2 linked regions of the Ovis aries genome follow. The protein of the gene in region 1 purifies or fractionates together with the protein of each later gene. This does not show direct contact. Links are inferred from orthologs where the notes say so. Each region holds a gene or a part of one and is shown on either strand. Other genes may lie near its edges. The genes, in order: DCAF10 and CUL4A.

The links.
Region 2: the proteins of DCAF10 (region 1) and CUL4A purify together in Homo sapiens (affinity purification with mass spectrometry; 4 studies listed by BioGRID and IntAct, with this or other methods). This does not show direct contact. The link is inferred for Ovis aries from reciprocal best matches to the Homo sapiens genes DCAF10 and CUL4A.

Annotation. Positions count from the first base shown.
Region 1 is NC_056055.1:50,919,458-50,923,271, reverse strand, and holds part of DCAF10 (DDB1- and CUL4-associated factor 10), read left to right. Parts: intron 1-980; coding exon 981-1,178; intron 1,179-3,814. UniProt on the Homo sapiens protein: May function as a substrate receptor for CUL4-DDB1 E3 ubiquitin-protein ligase complex.
Region 2 is NC_056063.1:85,903,817-85,907,630, forward strand, and holds part of CUL4A (cullin-4A), read left to right. Parts: intron 1-609; coding exon 610-723; intron 724-1,119; coding exon 1,120-1,398; intron 1,399-3,249; coding exon 3,250-3,402; intron 3,403-3,814. UniProt on the Homo sapiens protein: Core component of multiple cullin-RING-based E3 ubiquitin-protein ligase complexes which mediate the ubiquitination of target proteins. As a scaffold protein may contribute to catalysis through positioning of the substrate and the ubiquitin-conjugating enzyme.

The sequences.
Region 1 (3,814 bases):
TGGCTGTGCCATGTGGCTTTCAGGATCTTAGTTCCCCATCCAGGGATGGAACCTGGCCCTCAGCAGTGAAAGCAGAGTTCTAACTACTGGGTCATTAGGGAATTCCCTGTGCGGACTTTTAAAATTACTGAGTGAATTTATTACTGATAATTGATCTGTTCGTATTTTGTTTCTTCCTGGTTTAATCTTGGTTCAAGACAGTACCTTTTTAAGAATTTTTCCATTTCTTCTTCGTTGTCCTAGAAGCAAGATTATTTGGGGAATGCCTTTGAGTTAATTGGGCTTTCCTGGTGGCTCAATTGGTAAAGAATCTGTCTGCAATGCAGGACCCAGGTTTGATCCCTGGGTCGGGAAGATCCCCTGGAGAAGGGAGTGACAACCCTCTCCAGTATTCTTGCCTGGAGAATTTCATGGACTGAGGATCCTGTGGGCTGTAGTCCATGAGGTCACAAAGAATAGGACACAACTGAGTGACTAAACACTTTCACTTTCACTTTGAATTGATTAAAAATTTTGTATATGTAAATATATTTTAAAGAGAAATGTACACTAAATAGAAATTGATGTTATTTGTAGCAAAGTAAATATTTGTCATAATTTTGAATGCTTTATGCTTAATGTGTTTCACCTGCAGTTAAGTATTCAAAATCTCCTTTGTCTCCTATTGTCTGTTACCATTTGTGTTTCCTATACAGATTCTAAAATTCGTTTTCTCTGGCATTGTTCTCTAAACACCTACCTCTATTTCTGGTTTTCAATAAAATAATTTAACACAAGTAGATAAAATTACAACATGGTCCTCATTAACTCCTAGTATCCTCTGGTTATGTAAAGTATACTTACTACTATTATATATTAGAATCACTGGGTTTGTACAGTAAGTTTGTAGTCCTTTTTTGGTTTGTTTTCTTGATTAGGTAACATAGCAGTTTTTTTTAATAAGAGATTAAATAAACCAGTTTTTCTTTTCTGCTTTGTAGATTTCTTGATAACCGGCTGTTTGCCACCTGTTCTGATGACACTACAATAGCCTTTTGGGATCTGAGAAAACTGAACACGAAAGTATGCACTTTACATGGTCACACTAGCTGGGTGAAGAACATCGAGTATGATACTAATACAAGACTCTTAGTAACATCAGGATTTGATGGAAATGTCATTATTTGGGACACCAACAGGTTTGTGAACAGGAGACTATGTTAGGATTATGAACAACAAAAAAATGTTTTTAAAATGGTAAAAAAAAAAAAACCTCGGTGTTCTGTCTTAGCTCTCATGTTTCTTTAGAAGAAAGAAACTGGCTTTGGGAAAAACAATCAGAAAGTGATTCTGTCTTTAGTTCCTTGCACTTAGTCATATATCGTGACTAAAACACTTGGAGAAAATTATGTAGAAAAAAGACCAAATACTTGGTACTTGAGACCAAGTACCAGATACTTAACCAAGACCAAGTTAATGATGAAAACTGGTTTATAAGATGAGTTTCCTGAATTTAAGGAAAAATTATTTTGTTTTTTCCTTGTGGAACTGAAATGTTTTCCTTTGATCCTTCAAATCTATTTTGTAAATTTTGAAGCTTGTTTTCATGCATTAAAAGAGTAGTTTCTCAGAGTGGTACTGATGTTAGGGGAATGTTTAGAAATAATGTGTAGTGCAGTTTTAGTTGTCACTACAGGAGAAGAGAAGAGGATTTCTACTCACATTTAGTCAGTAGAGATCAGAGTTTGTAAACATCCTGCAGTGCATGGGATAGTTTGCACAGTGGACCAGTCATCCCATCTAAACTGTCACTAATATCTGTGTTGTGAAACACTTCAATAGAATATCTCCTGATAGAGAACTGAAAGAGTTGAATTTTGGGAAATAATTATAAGTTTCTGAAATATTCCTTAGAGCTCATATGTAAAACTAGGGGAATATTCTTAAAGATTTCTAGTTATGCATAGTGTTTGAGCCAAGCATAGAGCTACTGATTATCTTTAAGACAGCCTCTTGTTTAAACTTAGAACTAATTATTTTTTTAATTTAGAAGATTTTAATGTTATTAATAACCTTGACTTAGTTGGCAGATGTAGAATTCTGCTGCCAAATAGTGAGTACACCCTCTGAAGCAGAGTTTGAACATGTACAAAAATTGAGTGTGTTCTGGACTACAAAGTAAGTCTCAACCAGTATCAAAGAATTGTTATCGTACAAATCTTTTCTCTGATCTCAGTATAGTTTAATTAACTACAGGTAAATTAAAATTCCAAGGTTTGGAGACTTATAAACTTACATCCTAAATAATTGATGGATCAAAGAAAAAAATCATAGTGAAGTCAAAAGATAGACTAAAAATTAATGAACTAAGCATCTTACTCAAAAAACTTGAAAAAGATAAAAAAGTAAATCTGATGAAAGTAGATATATAGAAATGATTAAGATAAAAGCAGAAATTAATGAAATAGAAAATGAAAGTACAATAAAGATTTTTTTTAAAAGCTTGTTCTTCTCTGGTAAGATACATTAAGGAAAAAAGAGAGATGACACAATCCTAACAATAAGAGACAATAAAAAATACAATATAAAGTAAAATAATAAGGTCACATTTATGCCAATATACTTGAAAACTTTGATGAAACTGACAGATTACCCCAAAAAATACACCTTTGCAAAAGTGATCAAGGAAGAAATAGAAAACCGTAAATAGACATTACCAGGATATTTAACCATTATGCACTGGTTTAGCTGAAAAGGTTGTTAAAAGATTGAATTTCTTCCAAATAACTAATAGATAGTTACTGTCATGAATCATCCTCAGGTGTCATATCCTAGCACCTCTGGGTACCCACGAACCTCTCTGGAGATACCTTCCTCAAGGTCTCTCTTTATGATCTAGTAGCCGAAGTCGCTCTTACATAGGAAACTAACTGCAGGATCCAGTTCCAGCACTGAAACTCTGGAACTCAGGATCCAATTCCAGCATCAACTCTGGCTAGTTTTCATGCAGGGTTGGTTATTTAAATATTCTAAACATCACCTCTGCTTTAACCGTTAGAGAAATGAAAAAAAAAGTCAATTAAGACATAGCTACTAATTAAACAGCAGCATGTCAGTTTTACAGGTGTCTTCTACCAAATATTACAAGAAACAGAACATTCCAATTTTATTAAACTGTCCAGATTGCAGAAAAATGGAATTCTCCTTACCTTAGGTATGAAGCTGGTATGACCTTGATGCTTGAATTCAAAATGAAAGTTCAGTCTGTAATATGAATGTAGATGTGAATATTCCAAAAAAAAAAAAGAGAGATCCTGTAAGAAATTAATCAAAATAATCATGACCACTTTGGGTTTATTCTAGAAATGAAAAGATGATTTATCAGTAGAAATTCTGTTAGTATAATTTATCCCATTAACAGATTAAATAGATAAATCCTTATTCATCCTTTATGAATGATAAAATTCATCATTCATAATTAAAAGGGACATCATTACCAACCTTACAGAAATTAAAAGGATTAAAAAGGAATACATGCTTAGTCACTCAGTTGTAGCCTACTCTTTGTGACCCTTTGGATTGTAGCCCACCAGGCTCTTCTGTCCATGGGATTTTCCCAGCAAGAATACTAGAGTGCATTGCCATTTCCTCCTCCAGGGGATCTTCCCAACTCAGGGACTGAACCCATGACTCCAGTGTCTCCTGCACTGTAGGTGGATTCTTCACCCACTTAGACATCAGGGAAGTCCCACAAAAGAACACAATGAACAACTTTATGGCGACAAATTAGACAACTTCGATAAACAAATACCGCAGAATCACAAATTATTTAAAC
Region 2 (3,814 bases), on another chromosome or scaffold:
TGGAAAACCTCCACGCCCCGTCTGTGCCTGCTGGTTGACACTCGTCTCCCCCCTCCCCCTGGGGTGTGCGTGCACACGCGTGCCGGCGCTGCAGGACTGGCCGGGCGTGGAGGGATGGCAGGAACAGGCCAGAGTCCCAGGGCCTTCCCTGGGAGAGGAGGAGTGCAGCGAGGGTCGTCCCAGCTTGCGCAGCCGGGCAAGAGCACGGGCTCTGACCAGGCGGACCACCGGCGCTCCTGGGCTCAGAGGCTGCAGGGGGCCGAGGAAGCCTGCGGGGCTCGGGAGCGGGGGCAGCGAGGGTCGTCCCAGCTTGCGCAGCCGGGCAAGAGCACGGGCTCTGACCAGGCGGACCACCGGCGCTCCTGGGCTCAGAGGCTGCAGGGGGCCGAGGAAGCCTGCGGGGCTCGGGAGCGGGGGCAGGCCCCACCGCCCCTGGCAGGAGCTGTTGGAATGGTGGCAGCACGGGGCTGCGCGCTGGTGGGCCGCCGTCAGGACACGGAGCAGGCCGCATTCGGCCCAGCGGTGGCTTAGGAACTCGGACGCTGAGCCGCTGGCAGTGTCAGAGTGAGCGTGCGCAGCACAGTCACGCTCGCCCTCCTCCGCTGACAGATGATCAAGCTGCAGGAGGTGTTCAAGACGTTCTATCTGGGCAAGCACAGCGGCCGGAAGCTGCAGTGGCAGACGACGCTGGGCCACGCGGTGCTGAAGGCCGAGTTCAAGGAGGCAAGTCCTGCGCCTGCCGCTTTGCTCGTTTTTGAAGCACGTTTATGAAAAGAATGTTTTTAAGTTGCCGTTAGACTTTGGTAGCTAAGAAAGAAAGGAAGGGATTATTCAATATAACTCAACACGGGCTTTTCGAAGTCAGTAAAATGCAGTGGTCGAAGGGCTAATGTTTTAATCAATAAAATTAATGATGTATTCTCACCTGATGTCTAGTTAGGAGTGTCTCAGCACACCCGCACACAGGCCCCTCAGGGTGTCTCCTCTCCTGCTGACTAGTCAGTACCGTCTCCACCTCCCCTCTGCTGACTAGTCAGCACCGTCTCGGCACACCCGCACACAGGCTCGCCCGGTGTCCGCGGGCTGGCAGACCCACTTGTGTGGCTCCTGCTCTTTCAGGGGAAGAAGGAGTTCCAGGTGTCCCTGTTCCAGACGCTGGTGCTGCTCATGTTCAACGAAGGGGACGGCTTCAGCTTCGAGGACATCAGGCTGGCCACGGGCATCGAGGACAGTGAGCTGCGGAGGACGCTGCAGTCCCTGGCCTGCGGCAAAGCACGCGTCCTCCTCAAGAGCCCCAAAGGGAAGGAAGTGGAGGACGGAGACAAGTTCCTGTTCAATGCAGAGTTCAAGCACAAGCTCTTTCGCATCAAGATCAACCAGATTCAGATGAAGGAAACAGTATGTATCCGCTTCCTCCGCTTTCCCCGCTCACGGGACCGTAGGTCTATAGGAACTTCTCGACGCTCATTACACATTTGTGTCTGTGAGATGCTTTAGCGGAGCTGTTACTACTTTTATACTCGAGAGTGAAATTCAGAAGGGCACGCGTCTAACAGTTAACTTCCTGTGTACACAAACATGTCCTATTGAGGTCTTTGTAGCCCACCTTCTGTCCACGTAGGGAGCACCTCATTCCAAACCTGGTGACCTGTCCTAACAGCTGTGCCCACCCCCCGCCATTGTCTCAGCCTCGCTGCTGGGCTCCATGTTCAGGCTGAGTGTCTGTGCCTTTGATCAGGCTCCCTAGGGCCACGGGTCCAGGACGGCTCCAGGCCACTGTCCTCAAGCACCCTGCCGCAGGCGCCCTTGCCCCTCAGGGCTGTAGTCCAGCAGACGGGCACTGTGGCCTCGTCAGGAAGCCGCTCCGTCCAGAGGGAGTGCCAGCTCTGACTGCACGGGCCTCACAGCTGCTCCCACAGCTGCAGGCGGCCAGGGGTGCTGCCCCCCGGGTGCTCCGTGCTGCCCAGTGAGGAGGACGTTCAGAGCACATGGAGCGAAGCGTTCTTCGTGTCTTATTTTTGGGCGCTGTTTGGGCTGGTGTGGAGATTCTGTGGGTGACTTGAGACGCCTGTCACGGGGTGCCCTCAGCCTTGCTCCAGCTTCCTCACGACTGAGCTACGCGGAAGGCCGAGGGGGTGGTGGGTGCTCGGGCCATCCTTCCTCGGCGGCCTGCCTGTCACCTCCGTGCTCCACAGCTGGGCTCTCCTGGAGTTGGCAGCTTTTTCCTCCGCTGCACACGCGTAAACTTTTCTTCTTGGGATCGTGCCCTGTGGCGTTTACACACACAGTTTTTAAGCTGGGCCTCTTCCCAGGTCAGGACTTGGATTTTACATGTGCAGAGTAGCACGTTGTGTGACTTGAACCCAAGAGCGTGGAGCCCCTGCACAGAGCCTGGCGGTGCCTCAGGCCTGGCCTCTTCGGCTGCGGTGCCCTGCCCAGCTGCACTCACGCTCTCGGCTCCTGGCTTGGCTGTCTCGAGTCTCAGCTCCTCACCCTGGACTCGCCGGGTCAGAGGACATGAGCTTTGCTGACATGAGCGCGCGCCAGACTCAGCGCTTCCCCGGTCCTGCCCCTGCTCTTCCGTGGGTCACTGCTGGCGCTTTCTCGTCCTTTTAAGTAGCTGCTCGGTCTCGAGTCCCTGGCACGTTGCAACATCCCACCCCTGACTCGTAGGGAGTGCCCTGTCACGTCGCGGGGCCTGGTGGCGGGCGGCTCTGTCGCTCCGAGAGGGTCCTTCCCACGTGAGTAGGTTCTGTTCCTCTGCAGTTTCTGACCTGAGGGTCAGCTTAAGGAAGACCTTCCTCTGACCCACAGTTTAAAGAGCATTTTCTGCTGCTGCTCCAGTAGTCTGTATGTTCCAGCTTTCCCCTGAAACATTTCTCTGAGCAGCTAGAAGTTATCTTAGCATCAAGAAAGCACTCCAGCCACCCTCCCTGTTTTAAAATGTGAGTGGGCTCTCTCACAACCCACTAAGCTGTCACTTTTGTTAGAAATCCGGGTCACGTGTTCCCGGGCAGTGTCTCGTTCCTGTTTTTAAGTTCTGTTTCAAAGCCAGCACCCAAAGCATTTTAATTGGTGTCACGATTCCTGTAAATTCACTGATGTTGTTGCTGAAGTTCAGTGGTTTCACTGGACAAAGCCGCAGAACAGAACAGGGGCCCCTGCAGTCTGGCCTGCCTTCCGCCCGGAGCTCAGCAGCCCCCACAGAGGCGGCGCCGGCGCTGACCGGCGGCGGGCCCTCTCCCGCAGGTGGAGGAGCAGGTCAGCACCACGGAGCGCGTGTTCCAGGACCGGCAGTACCAGATCGACGCTGCCATCGTCAGGGTCATGAAGATGAGGAAGACGCTAGGCCACAACCTGCTCGTCTCTGAGCTGTACAACCAGCTCAAGTTCCCAGTCAAGGTAGGCGGGCGTCAGCTTGTCCAGTCGCTGCGGTTGCACACCCTTGGCCCTCTGGAGTCGGCCGTCTGTCCTGCACTGCCGCTGGCCACTAGCCGCAGGGACCTCCCTCTGCGTGCGGAGAGAGAGCAGCGCCCTCCCCTCTGCCCGCCGAGGCCCCGGCCCAGGTGCTCTGCCTTGGGAGTGTCCCCAGTGCCAGTGTCTGAGGGCTCCCGGCGGGCGTCCGGGAGGTTCTCTGTGACTGTGGTGTCAGGCTCAGGTGGATGGGCGCTGGACGGGCCGGCGGGGCGTGTGTTCCCCCAGGTTCCACAGGCCCAGGGCGAGTGGGAGGGGCTGGGGCCCCCTGCCCAGGAGACCCGGACGTTCTGCAGAGGCTGCAGGGCGAGGCCTGCAGCTGTCGGGGCAGAGCACTGCA